Linked DNA regions of Rattus norvegicus. The protein of the gene in region 3 interacts with the protein of the main gene of each other region in a pairwise test. Links are inferred from orthologs where the notes say so. Each region holds a gene or a part of one and is shown on either strand. Other genes may lie near its edges.

Evidence for each region. The genes of interacting proteins can lie anywhere in the genome.
Region 1: the proteins of Ccdc136 (region 3) and Usp2 interact in binary tests that used the Homo sapiens proteins (3 or more experiments, as listed by UniProt). The two-hybrid records come from large-scale screens. The link is inferred for Rattus norvegicus from reciprocal best matches to the Homo sapiens genes CCDC136 and USP2.
Region 2: the proteins of Ccdc136 (region 3) and Pdlim5 interact in binary tests that used the Homo sapiens proteins (3 or more experiments, as listed by UniProt). The two-hybrid records come from large-scale screens. The link is inferred for Rattus norvegicus from reciprocal best matches to the Homo sapiens genes CCDC136 and PDLIM5.

Annotation. Positions count from the first base shown.
Region 1 is NC_086026.1:53,309,420-53,313,672, reverse strand, and holds the start of Usp2 (ubiquitin carboxyl-terminal hydrolase 2), read right to left. Parts: upstream 2,804-4,253; 5' UTR 2,720-2,803; exon of another isoform or gene 1-2,719. UniProt on the Homo sapiens protein: Hydrolase that deubiquitinates polyubiquitinated target proteins such as MDM2, MDM4 and CCND1. Isoform 1 and isoform 4 possess both ubiquitin-specific peptidase and isopeptidase activities.
Region 2 is NC_086020.1:233,790,674-233,794,783, reverse strand, and holds the start of Pdlim5 (PDZ and LIM domain protein 5), read left to right. Parts: upstream 1-1,307; 5' UTR 1,308-1,340; intron 1,341-4,110. UniProt on the Homo sapiens protein: May play an important role in the heart development by scaffolding PKC to the Z-disk region. May play a role in the regulation of cardiomyocyte expansion. Isoforms lacking the LIM domains may negatively modulate the scaffolding activity of isoform 1.
Region 3 is NC_086022.1:58,990,309-58,993,504, reverse strand, and holds the end of Ccdc136 (coiled-coil domain-containing protein 136), read right to left. Parts: exon of another isoform or gene 1,922-3,196; intron 874-1,921; coding exon 766-873; 3' UTR 543-765; downstream 1-542. UniProt on the Homo sapiens protein: May play a role in acrosome formation in spermatogenesis and in fertilization.

The sequences.
Region 1 (4,253 bases), on a different chromosome or scaffold from region 3:
ACAACGGTGGCGGTGGTGGTGGTAGTTCCTACTCTTGCCTTTTTTTTTTTTTTTTTTAACAGAGATTTTGATGTCTCCCTTCTCTCTGAGAGTCTCCATCGCTTTGCAAAGTTTCCCCACAGAAACTGGCATGGTGGCATCATTTTGCACAGATGCACTTGGCTTCCTCTTGGGACAACGGAGCCATGCAGCTAAGGCTCCCAGCCAACTGGTCCCACACACCTACAGACCAGGCATAGAACTCACTGAGGACCTTGAATGCAGCTTTTGACTTTGTCTGCCAGATAGCCTCATCCTGTATGTACTTGGTCCTCCCTAGCCTTCCTGGCAGTGTCCTTAAGTGTAGAGGTCCTGAAAATCTCAAGGCAGACGAAAGCTTGAACTTTTTTAGATGCATACATTCTCAGGTTTAAGAAACATAATTGCAAAGGCTATATTGTTTGCGTTAAATGAAAACGAAAAAAAATTCGTATTTTTAAATGTACAAGAAATTTAAATAGTGCCTTGTTTTGCTTTTGTTTTTGTTTTTTTGGACGAGTCTAGGCTGACCTCAAAGTCTCTGTCTTGTCTCATATCCCAAGAGCTGGGATTGTTAAGTATGAGCCCCTAAGAGTGAAACTTAAGTAAAGTTTTATTGTCCATATTTCAGATCTTTTTTTTTTTTTTTTGGGTTCTTTTTTTCGGAGCTGGGGACCGAACCCAGGGCCTTGCGCTTCCTAGGTAAGCGCTCTACCACTGAGCTAAATCCCCAGCCCCCGATATTTCAGATCTTAACATTTAAAGATGCACCGACTAGGGCTCTAGCACACTAACTCAGTTCCCCCGGCAGCTTTAAGCGGTCATGCTATCAATGCGTCTATTTGTGGGTAAGGAAACAGTTCTTTTTTTTTTTTTTTTTTTTTTTTTCCGGAGCTGGGGACTGAACCCAGGGCCTTGTGCTTGCTAGGCAAGCGCTCTACCACTGAGCCAAATCCCCAACCCGAATCAGTTCTTTCTGCAAGTCATGTGGACCCTCTCCCGCTGTCAGGCTGCTGCAGTTGTCTCTGCTGGGTGGGAACTGAGCTCTGTTCACTGCAGCTACCCTGAAGCCATCCATCCCCTGTCCTGAAAGCAGGGCCATGGGCCTGTGAAGTCAAAGGAGGACCCCTCCAGGATGCCCACGCCTATTTATCCCGCTAGGAGAGAAGGCTGCTTGCGGGAGCAGCCCCTGGATTTTCCACTGTAAGTGAATGAAAATGAAGCCTGGTGTAACCTGAGCTGCAGCACAATACTGATCGAGGGAGAGATGGTGATCGAGGCCTCTATTTCATCCTCTCTGCCAAGCCCTGTGTGTCCCCTGGTACTGGCATCTACCCCAGCACAGGCTTCTGGGCCCCAGCTTGGTGGCAGACATATCCCTGAGCCTCCTTCCCACGGCTGCAGTTTAGCCCACTCCCCAAAGTACCCACACTAGGTGAGTCAGGGGTTGAAACGAACCCTGTTCCCTTGAGGCAACCAACCACCTGGCATCAAGTCACTGTCATCAGTCACTGTCATTTCCTGTAGCTCACGTGAAGGGCTCCCTAACCTGCCCAGCTGGAGGAGGGACTTAAGCCTCAAGAATCCCAGACACTCCTGGCCCTGGAGGCAGAGGACTGGTGATACACCACCTCTTAGCAGATTCATGCCCCTTTCTGTCCCGATGGGCTCATCTTTCTGAGGCATAGGCCTAGCCACATCTGTGGCTTTGTCACTGCCCTCACTTACGTCCTCTACCCTACAAGACACTTCATGGACACACCTAAAACACCACTAAGTCCCTTTCTTCCTACCCAGATGTTCAGGGCAGGTCAGCAGGGAGACCCAGTCAGTCTCACTAGGTGCTCGGGAACCTCCGCAGTAGTGACCTCAGAGCTTCCCAAAGCTGCCTGCTAATTGTATCAGAATGTGCTGACTGAGGACTAAGAGGGGGATAGACACCCTGTCACACCTATGACCCTTCCTCCTTGCTGCTTGGATCCCTTGCTAGACTCTCTGGCCACAAGTGTCCACCCTGACAGAGTGGAGAAAATGGCAAGAGCTGTACATTTACATTATACCATCGGCTCCTCTCAGGCCTCTTGAGCCCTGAGCCTGACCCTCTGACCTGTTGCTAGCACTGCTCTCTATCAGATGCTTGCAGCAACCCACCTACTTTTATCACAGAATCCTCTCGCTTTGGGGAGGGGAGGTCCTGTAAAGGAATTTGTGCAGGTCTCCATTTCTCTTGCACTTTGGAGGTGCCCAGAACTTGGGGAGGGGATGGGAGTTGAAGAGGTAAAGTGAAGAGATCAGAGATGAGAGAGATCAGGACAAGTATCCTGGCTTGTGGAGAGGTGGGTGGGCCTAGGGGGGGATCACACAGGGTGTTTTTCGATTTGGGGTTGGGATGGATAGATATCTCTACAAGTCCAAGAAAAGGCAAAGAAACAGGCTTCCTAGAAGCAGAAGGTATCTTGTGATTTTCTTCTTCACCCCCTTTGCTCAAGTACCCCTCCTAGTGCTCCCTGCCCTGGAGAGAGTCTCACCCCCCCACCTTTAGGGCTTCAGTTGTCCTCTGTCCCCATATCTTGAGGAGCATTTGGGTTTGGTTACAACGCTCACCAAGTCCAGCGGGCAGCCTCTCAAATGCTCTCCCGAACTCAATGAGGCTTTACTTAGCCATACTTGAAGCTCTGACACCAAAGAGAGGGCTACTGACCTGTGTCCGGGGGCACTGGATGGGATCTGGGGGCTTCTTTCCTCGCAGGGAAAAGACGGCTGTTGTAGAGTCTAGAAGCTGGAGTCTGACTGGGGCTGGGTAATCCGGAGCTCAGGTTACGCTAGCTAGATATATATAGTATCTTATCTGACCTCGCCGAGATGGCAACTCACTTGCATTCCAGGCCCCAGGAGAATTAAAGGGGCAGTGACAAGCCCACCTTCCACCCAATGCCTAGTGACTGGGTGGAAGCAGAGAATGAGCCAGAATCCTGGGAATACTTGGAAATAACAGGAAGGATCAGGGGTCAGAGCAGAGGGCTGGGGATGAGTCTGAGTCCCAGACATGGAGAAGGTGGATTCTCTAGTGCTGTCCGTCACAAGTTGAGCGAACACGAAGAGGCCAAACTGCTAACCCAGCTGCTGGTGTTTTAAGATAGGGAGGACCGGGGTTGGGGATTTAGCTCAGTGGTAGAGCGCTTGCCTAGCAAGCTCAAGGCCCTGGGTTCGGTCCCCAGCTCTGAAAAAAAAAAAAAAAAAAAAAAAAAAAAAGAAAAGGAAAAAAAAGATAGGGAGGACCTAGCTCCTCTCTGGACACGGGCAGAGAAGAGTGGCTGGGACCAGCCCTTGGTTTTCAGTCCACTACTGTTTTTACAGTGGACTTCTAGGTCTAGGCCTGAATTCTTATTCTTTCCCTTCATGGATCTAAGATAACTTCTGAGGATACTTAAGTCTCTGAATCTTAGCTATGTAGTTTGTAAAACTGAATCATAGAGCTAGTATGGTGGCGCATGCCTTTTATCCCCAGCACTTGGGAGACAGAAGCAGGCAGATCTCTGAGTTCAAGGACAGCCTGGTCTACAAAGCAGACAGCCAGGGCAACACAATGAAACTCTGTCTCAAAACCAAACCAAACCAAACCAAACCAAACCAAACCAAAGGAAACCAAAAAAACCCAACCAAACAAATGCACACAAAGGAGAAACTCAAAGGAACAAATAAACAAAAACCATGAATAATAAGGTGTGATTACATCTCACAAGGATAAGGATAAAACAATAGTTTTAAGCTTCCTCAAACAGAGCCAGGGTTCAATAACGCCAGGCTTATTGGCCATGTCCATTCATCTATTCATTACTAATGGCAGTTGTAGCAGACAACCCTTAATAGAAGATAAAGGCTTTGGGCTACCCCCCGGGATTGCGACACCAGACACCAGCCCTGTGGTTTTCTGAACTAGTCCACATCTCCCAAATGGAAAAGTCAGACAGATTTTGCCACTTTCCCAAGGCGACAGGCCACACTCCTTTCCCCTTTGTTCAGAAAAAAAAATTATATATATATATATATATATATATATATATATATATATATATATATATATATATAAATCAAGTGTGGCTTCTCTGGGCTGCCAGGAGAATGCTTGGCTCCAGAGGGGCAGTTCCAGTCTACCTGTTGGAGGGCTCAGGCTTCCGGGGTATCAAGGGCAGGCTGGCCAGGGTCATGACAGGAGGGCCTCTCTGGCCTCGGTG
Region 2 (4,110 bases), on a different chromosome or scaffold from region 3:
ACAAAATAGGCAAGTCACATCCTAGTATATACATTAAAACAGGAAAATAAATTTTAACAATGTTGTAAATAAGCAGATAATATCAACATGTAATCAACATACTTATTTTTTAAATTCACAAAGTTTAAAAAAACCCGGTACATTTATGTCAAGTTGGCCACAGTACAGTGAAATGTAGTCCTAATGAAACTTATAGTTATTAGAAATCCTATCCTATTCATATGTATAAATTTAGATTCATAAGGATAATATAAAAGGTTTTTACAGTGAGCTAAATTTTAACTCTAAAAAAAAAATCTCCTGGGTTCGGTCCCCAGCTCTGAAAAAAAAGAACCAAAAAAAAATCTCAGTATCAACATTTCCAATGATAAATAGTCACTCCTGGCCAGTGGCTACTATTTCAACAGCTTTGGACCTACTCTAGAATTTTGCTTGCACCTCTAGGGCAGACTTTGTACCTCTAGAGGGACCTCTGTTGAGGTTTATTTTTGTTTGCTACGCCACTTGGTTAACACTTGTGCTTTTAGTATTTTAAAAGCCAATTCAAAGAGTTAGAGAAAACTGCACGTTTCTTTTGGAATGTTCACTAAACTTTACCAAAGTTTGCTTGTGAATAAAAATTCTTTGGGCAAAATCAAACAACTTTACAGAAGTAGGTAAACGTGCTGTTGATTTGGAATTAGAAAAGTAAGCCGAGGATCGGTGGCTGAATCACTTTGCCTACTGCTTTGTGTGGCTGTCTTTTAGCTTGACGACAGATTTAACTTCTGCATATTAGGGTTAGCGATTTTCACCTTCCTGACAAGCAAACTTCAGAGTTTGCACTTCTCGAGAGTATACAGAGGTCTTTCACAAAAGCAGGCGGTAGTCGCTGAACTCGCTCCGACAGACAGAGATTTAGCTAAAGCCCTTTTCTATTTTTAGCCAGACCAACTGCGGGTCAATTCAAGTTTCTGCGGGAGTGAAAAGCGCCTAAATACAAAACAGAGAAGCGGAAGGCTAGATCTTTGCCGGGTACCACTCCAAGACTACACCCCGGAGACTACGCCCACCGAAACTCCACTCGGGGAATTGTTTTTGAGGCGGCTACAGCCGGCCCCAGCAAGTCCCCGCGTACAACCCGGAGACTCCATTGCCTTCAAAGCCAGCAGCAGTGCGGCCCCGCCCAGCCCGGACCAGGGGGTGTGGCCATCAGAGAAGGGGCGTGCCCAGCCTTGGGCGCGGGGCGGGTCGAGCGCGGAGGCGGAAGTTCCCCACCGGCTTGAGAGGGACGGCGCAGGCACCGCGAGCCACTTGTCAGCGCTGGTCTGAGGCGGAGGGTGCGCCGCGCGGGTCCGGAGGTGAGTGACCGCGGGCGGCGGCGGAGCACGTCCTCCTCCGCGATGGGAGAAACGGGTGACGGGGTGCGGCGCGTGGAGGGGCGCAGGACGGGAGGAGGACGGGGTGCGCGTTTCCTCAGAGCCGCGGCTCCTCAGGTGCTCCCGGTGCGCGCGGAGGTGTGAGAAGTGCGGGGCAGGGCGGCGCGCCGCGGGTCAGCGTCCAGAGCCGGGACTCTCCGGGACCGGCGCTCGGGAGAGCCGGACGCACCAGGGGGCGCCCGCGGAGCCCGACCGCGGGGGGCGAAGGGCAGCACCTCGGCCTGGGGCGCGCCAGCCCCCTGGGAGGCTCTGGCGAGCGGAGAATGTGCGCCTGCACGGGAAAGCGGCGCTATTTTGTTTGCTGGCTCCCGGGCTACGGAGAAGCGTTTATTTTCTCCTCCGTGAAATATTTGCCGTTGTGTAACCTGTTAGGGTTACAGGTCGGTGCGTCTAGAATGAAAGGCCACTTAGATCGGTCGCGGTCGCCAGTTTTATGAAACTGGTGGACTTTTTGGGGCTTTGGCCAGATTGTGCTTCAGCGGCGTTTGACAATGAGTGGAAAAAGGAAGGGCGTATGGACTGGGCAGAACTTGGAAAGAAAATTCGTGACTGGGCTGGGCAGGTCTAGGGTGTGATCGCCGGATCCTATCCCAGGTCCGCCTTCTTGACCCGAGGACGTCTGAACCCGCCTGCTACGGAAACTGCTAGCTGGGGAACCTTATTTGGCCAACTTGGCTAGGCGTGAACCCTAGCTGGGAAACGTCTCATCCTCTTTCATCCTAAGCCTTAGCTCTTTAGTCCGCCCACCATTCTATCTCAGGAGGAGAGAAAGAATCTCTAGGTAGTCTTAATTGAAGGGCTTACCACTCACCACAGTAGGTCTGCCCCGTTACGCACACCAAAGAAGCTGACACTGAAGTGTGGGAAACCACTTTTAGCGTCCCTCACCAGCAGTAGATGGAAGGCATTATTTAGACTGCCCCTAAAAGAAAATCCAAAACTCTACAGAAATTCCAACGTTTTTTACATGTTTGAAAGCAGAATAAGCTGTTATTTCCTGCCTGCTTGGTTGGTATTTTAGCGTTTGGGCACTAATAACCACATGGGGGAGACTTGGAAAAGGCCAATGACAATTCTGCCCTTGCTTAAGGATCAGAATATTTTAAGACAAATGAATTCCAAGTGAAGCTAGCGGAAAGGGAGTTTAGGGAAGAGACTGGTGTTGCGGTTTGGCTGACTTGACTAGTACTAGAAATGTTAATAACAAATGGGAGAAATCAGGAAGGGAGTCCCTAAGAAAAGGGAAGTTACATGGATGTGGGCTGATACCCACATTCTCTCCTAGGGAAAAATGGAGCCAGAGTGCGTTTAGCGTAACTTTCACATTCTTCCCTTGACACAGTTAAAGATTAAGAGACGACAGTGGCCTGGGAACTATCAGTTGGTTTACTGATTTATTTGTACTGTATGGCACGATCAAGACTGCCTCTACTGGTCTTGGGGAGATCCTGCTCCAGCTTGTTATTAACTCCCTAGCATTTAGTTTTCACCTGCCCGTTGGCTTCCTGTGGGTCTTTTTCTATAGCCACTGCTTACTACTGCGGTACGGAAGTAACGCTACAACACAATAGTTCGGCACTACCATTCCACCTTAAAAGATTTGCAGTGCACAATATCCCGGAACTAGATTTCCTTTAAAGTGTTGCCTCATTTTCCATTCTTGAGAAGAAGGCGTCCGTTTTTTGCCTTCTCTGTGGTACGTGTGCTGCTGCTGAACTTGATGACATGGGTAGGTGTTAAAGTGGATGTAAAAAGTAGTATATTAACACGGTTGATCAGACTTCATCTATTAAATCAAGCATGTCAATATACTATATATTCATATATATACTCATATATATATATATGGCCTCATAAATGCTACACAGACTCTGTACCACTGAGATATATTTCTATCCCCAAAGCTTTGTTTTGACAAGTGTCTTTAAAGCATTATAACATCATATACCTGCCATACTTTTAGACAGAAGAACTGTATATCTCTATTATTCTTTTTAAAGAGGGAACAATGTTCATTATTCCCAATGCCTCCTAACTACCAGTAGGACCCTCTTAAGTCAACTTGAGCTTTTAAAAGAGCTACCCTGAAGTCATTATGAGCCTAAGAACAGCAAGACAGGAAAAAAAAAAAAAAGAAAAAAAGAAAAAGCACTGCATCATGGTAATTTTCTAAGGCTCCAATTTAGTTTCATTAAGGTTAACCTTGTATTTCAGTTATGGTTAACATAGCCTCATTTACTCGCTTAGGAAGGCTTAGTCTCTGCTCTGCTGGATTATGTATAAGCATAAAAGAAAACAAAAATTTAGAGTAAGATACTACCTGTTCTGGAATGTGGCCCATCACTGCCTAGATGAAAGAAAAATAAGGACTTAGGTTTACTTCCTAACCCCATAAACAAAGAACTAGACAAACAAAAGCCTAGTTTTAGACATATTTCATACTTAGAAATTCTGAACTGTTACATCAGCAACCTTATCTTTCCTTCCTTGTCATACTTTTACACATTTTAAACTCCACCTAAACTTCTCTTCTATCACACCAGATTTACCAGCATATGTAGATATCTGACCCACTGAGGATGAAGCCACACTAGTTTTAGGGATTCTAGTTTCTAAGGAAGAATGACTTCAGGGATAATGTGCACTAAAGGTCCCTTAACTGTGGAAAATACCATGTTCCAATAGAGGAGGC
Region 3 (3,196 bases):
TCTCCTGTCTTTCACACACAATTGCTTCATGAAATGTTCTTCAGTCCAAGTATTGACTGTCTTGTTTGCTGCCAGGCTCTTGACTAATTAAAATGTCTCCAAAAATGAATCTCCTAAGTTGAGAGGGTAAGCCAGGAAGGTCTTTTGTTTGCCCATTGCCTCTAGCCCCATACACAGAGTACCCAGTTTGCTGTATTTCTTTGTGTTTATAAGAGTTTCTTGAGGGGTTGGGGATTTAGCTCAGTGGTAGAGCGCTTGCCTAGGAAGCGCAAGGCCCTGGGTTCGGTCCCCAGCTCCGGAAAAAAGAACCAAAAAAAAAAAAAAAAAAAAAGAGTTTCTTGAGATAGGATTGAATAGGGTCAGATCAATCTCTGTGATTCAGCTGGCAGCAGACTCACAGAGAACCGACAGCAGAGGGAACCAACCTCATTTCTGAAAAATCATATTTAAAACAGACTCTTATGGGATATACTTGGTTGAAGGGTAATTGCTCTGTTCAATGTTATGTGAAACATTTATTGAAGAAAAAGTCACACAACGTCTCATGTAATCAGGCTGACATTTAATTACAAGGAACCCAGGTTCTTACACAAGGCAGGAGATTGAGAGCCAGCAACTCCCATAAGCCTTTTCAGTCTTGAATACTGAGGCAAAGGAGATGGAGAAACACTGATGGGGTGGGGGGTTCTGGCACAGTGTACTCTGCCCAAAGGTGAGGGTGGTAGCCTCTGGGGATCTGCCCTCTGGGCTGGTCCAGGTCTGCCATCAATTCATGTAGAATTCTGGTTCCTGCGGTCGCATATTGGGTAACACATACAGAGCTACTGCTGCAATAGCCAAGAATACCATAGGCTTCCACATCCCAAACATGTTCTGTGGGGACCAAAAAACAACAGTGAGTTCCACGCCTTCTTCCTGAACCCGTCCTTAAGCCAGAAAACACGGCCTACTAGAGGGCATGCCTCAGGAACATTCTTTTTTTTTTTTTTTTTTTTCTTTTCTTTTTTTCGGAGCTGGGGACCGAACCCAGGGCCTTGCGCTTGCTAGGCAAGCGCTCTACCACTGAGCTAAATCCCCAACCCCCTCAGGAACATTCTTATGGCTTAGCCTCTCTCACCTCCAGGGAGATCATGGAGACTCTGTGGTTTCATTCCAGCACACTAGTTTTGTGGCAGGATACTGTATGATTACTTAGGTTATCCCTGTATTTGTGCTTGATTTGTCTCCATGGGATGAGAATATTGGTTCCTATTTGCATAAGCAAGATTCCAGGCCCACCTTCAGGGACTCTTCATGTAGGTGTGTGAGAAGAGGTGGGGTAACCTGGGCCTTTAGAGAGGGTAGGTGTAGCTCACTGACTTTATGGAGAAGTGAGAGCTAAGTTAAGGAGTGTGGGCATGAGAGGAGGCAACAAAATGCATTGCAGAATGAAGTAGAGATCACTGGTGGCCAGAGATTGTGTGCCAGGTGATGTCACTTTGAGGAAATCCAGGGGAACCTGCTGTTGGTCCTGAACAGCAGTGTCATGAGCCAATGAATGCACTCCTCACCCCAGCTCTCCACCTTCAGTCACGGGGCCATGGCCTGACAGCCTGCCGCATGCACTGAGTGCCATCAGGCTTCTAAATGCTCTGGCTGCTGGGAAACCCTGATGCCTCATGGGTAGGAAAACACGCCATAAGAAAACATTCAGGAAACAAGAATTCTTGAACACAAAAATGAGAGAAATAGTTCCTATCTTTACTATTCGCTTTACTGTGTTGCTTAAAGAATCTGGATTTTGAATCAAAAGTTACAGCGTAAGGGGAAGATGTCTTGAGGAAAAAAATGGAGTGGAGTTCATTAAAGCTAACGTATTCGATTAAAGAATAACTGTTCTCAAAGAAAAATTTAAGCTAATTACAAAGAGCATATAATCTCCCAATTTTATAGGAAAAGTTGCTAAGAACAAAAAATATATAAAATGAAAAAATTAATGTTAGAAGTGGACGTAAAACAATCCACAATAGAAATTAGGAAGCAGGAGCACACATGAGTGCTGCTGCCTGGTCTACACGCCAGGCCCTCTCATGACAAACGGATATCTAGAAAAGGCATTTACTCTAGCTCTGGTAGCACACATGTAATCCCAGAACTTTGCTGCATGGCCAGTTTGGAGCCTGTCTGGGCTACATTGGCTCCTGTCCCAAAACCTAAAAAAGAAAAGCCCAGATGTCAGCTGCTAGTGGCTGAGCAGCCACCGATGGCTGAAGGATGCAGGGAAGGGACAGCCATTTGCTGTTGGTGTAGGTGTAGCCACAGTTAAAGGCTCCACAGGCAGCCCACGTCCATGGGCACATAGACAATGCCGGGCTATTTGGGTGTCCCAAAGAGCTTCTGGGCTCCAGGAAATCACAAGCATCTGGATGTGTCACGAACCTGACAGACTATGCAAGGTATCTGACAAGATTTCCTTGAAGTCCTTGCAGACAACAAGCAGAAAGAGTAGGAGGATATCAATGTTGTCTGTTCTGATCATTCCTTAAGAGCCAAACCACTGAGTAAAGAGAACTTGACAAGACAGCCCTAGAGGCTGGGTCCTTCTGTGAGATTGACAAGACAGCCCTAGAGGCTGGGTCCTTCTGTGAGATTGACAAGACAGCCCTAGAAGCTGGGTCCTTCTGTGAGATTGACAAGACAGCCCCTAGAGGCTGGGTCCTTCTGTGAGATTGACAAGACAGCCCTAGAGGCTGGGTCCTTCTGTGAGATTGACAAGACAGCCCTAGAGGCTGGGTCCTTCTGTGAGATTGGCTGAACTCAAAGGTGTTCACCTGAAGATGTGAATGACGTTAGCAGGAAAAAAGAGCATTGTGAAAACATAAAACATAGGGTCAGGGTCAACAATTAATCAAACAAGACTCCACAAAAACTCATCCGCTATGGCAGTGAATTACTGCTAAGAGAGAAAAATGGAAAACTTTGTCACTGAACTCCAAGCAATCAGTGTTAGTACAGAATGAGGAGAGGATACTTAGTGTTCACAATACACAAAAGTCTTAGAAACGAGACACTAATAAATTAATATTAGTCACCAAGAGAGCTACTGAGGTTGGAGGTCCCAGAAACACAACAGGGTAATAGTATAATCTGCTGTATATTGTCTTCCCCATTCCCCAGGGCCAACCAATGAAAGGTGCTCAGAATGAGAAGACACAAC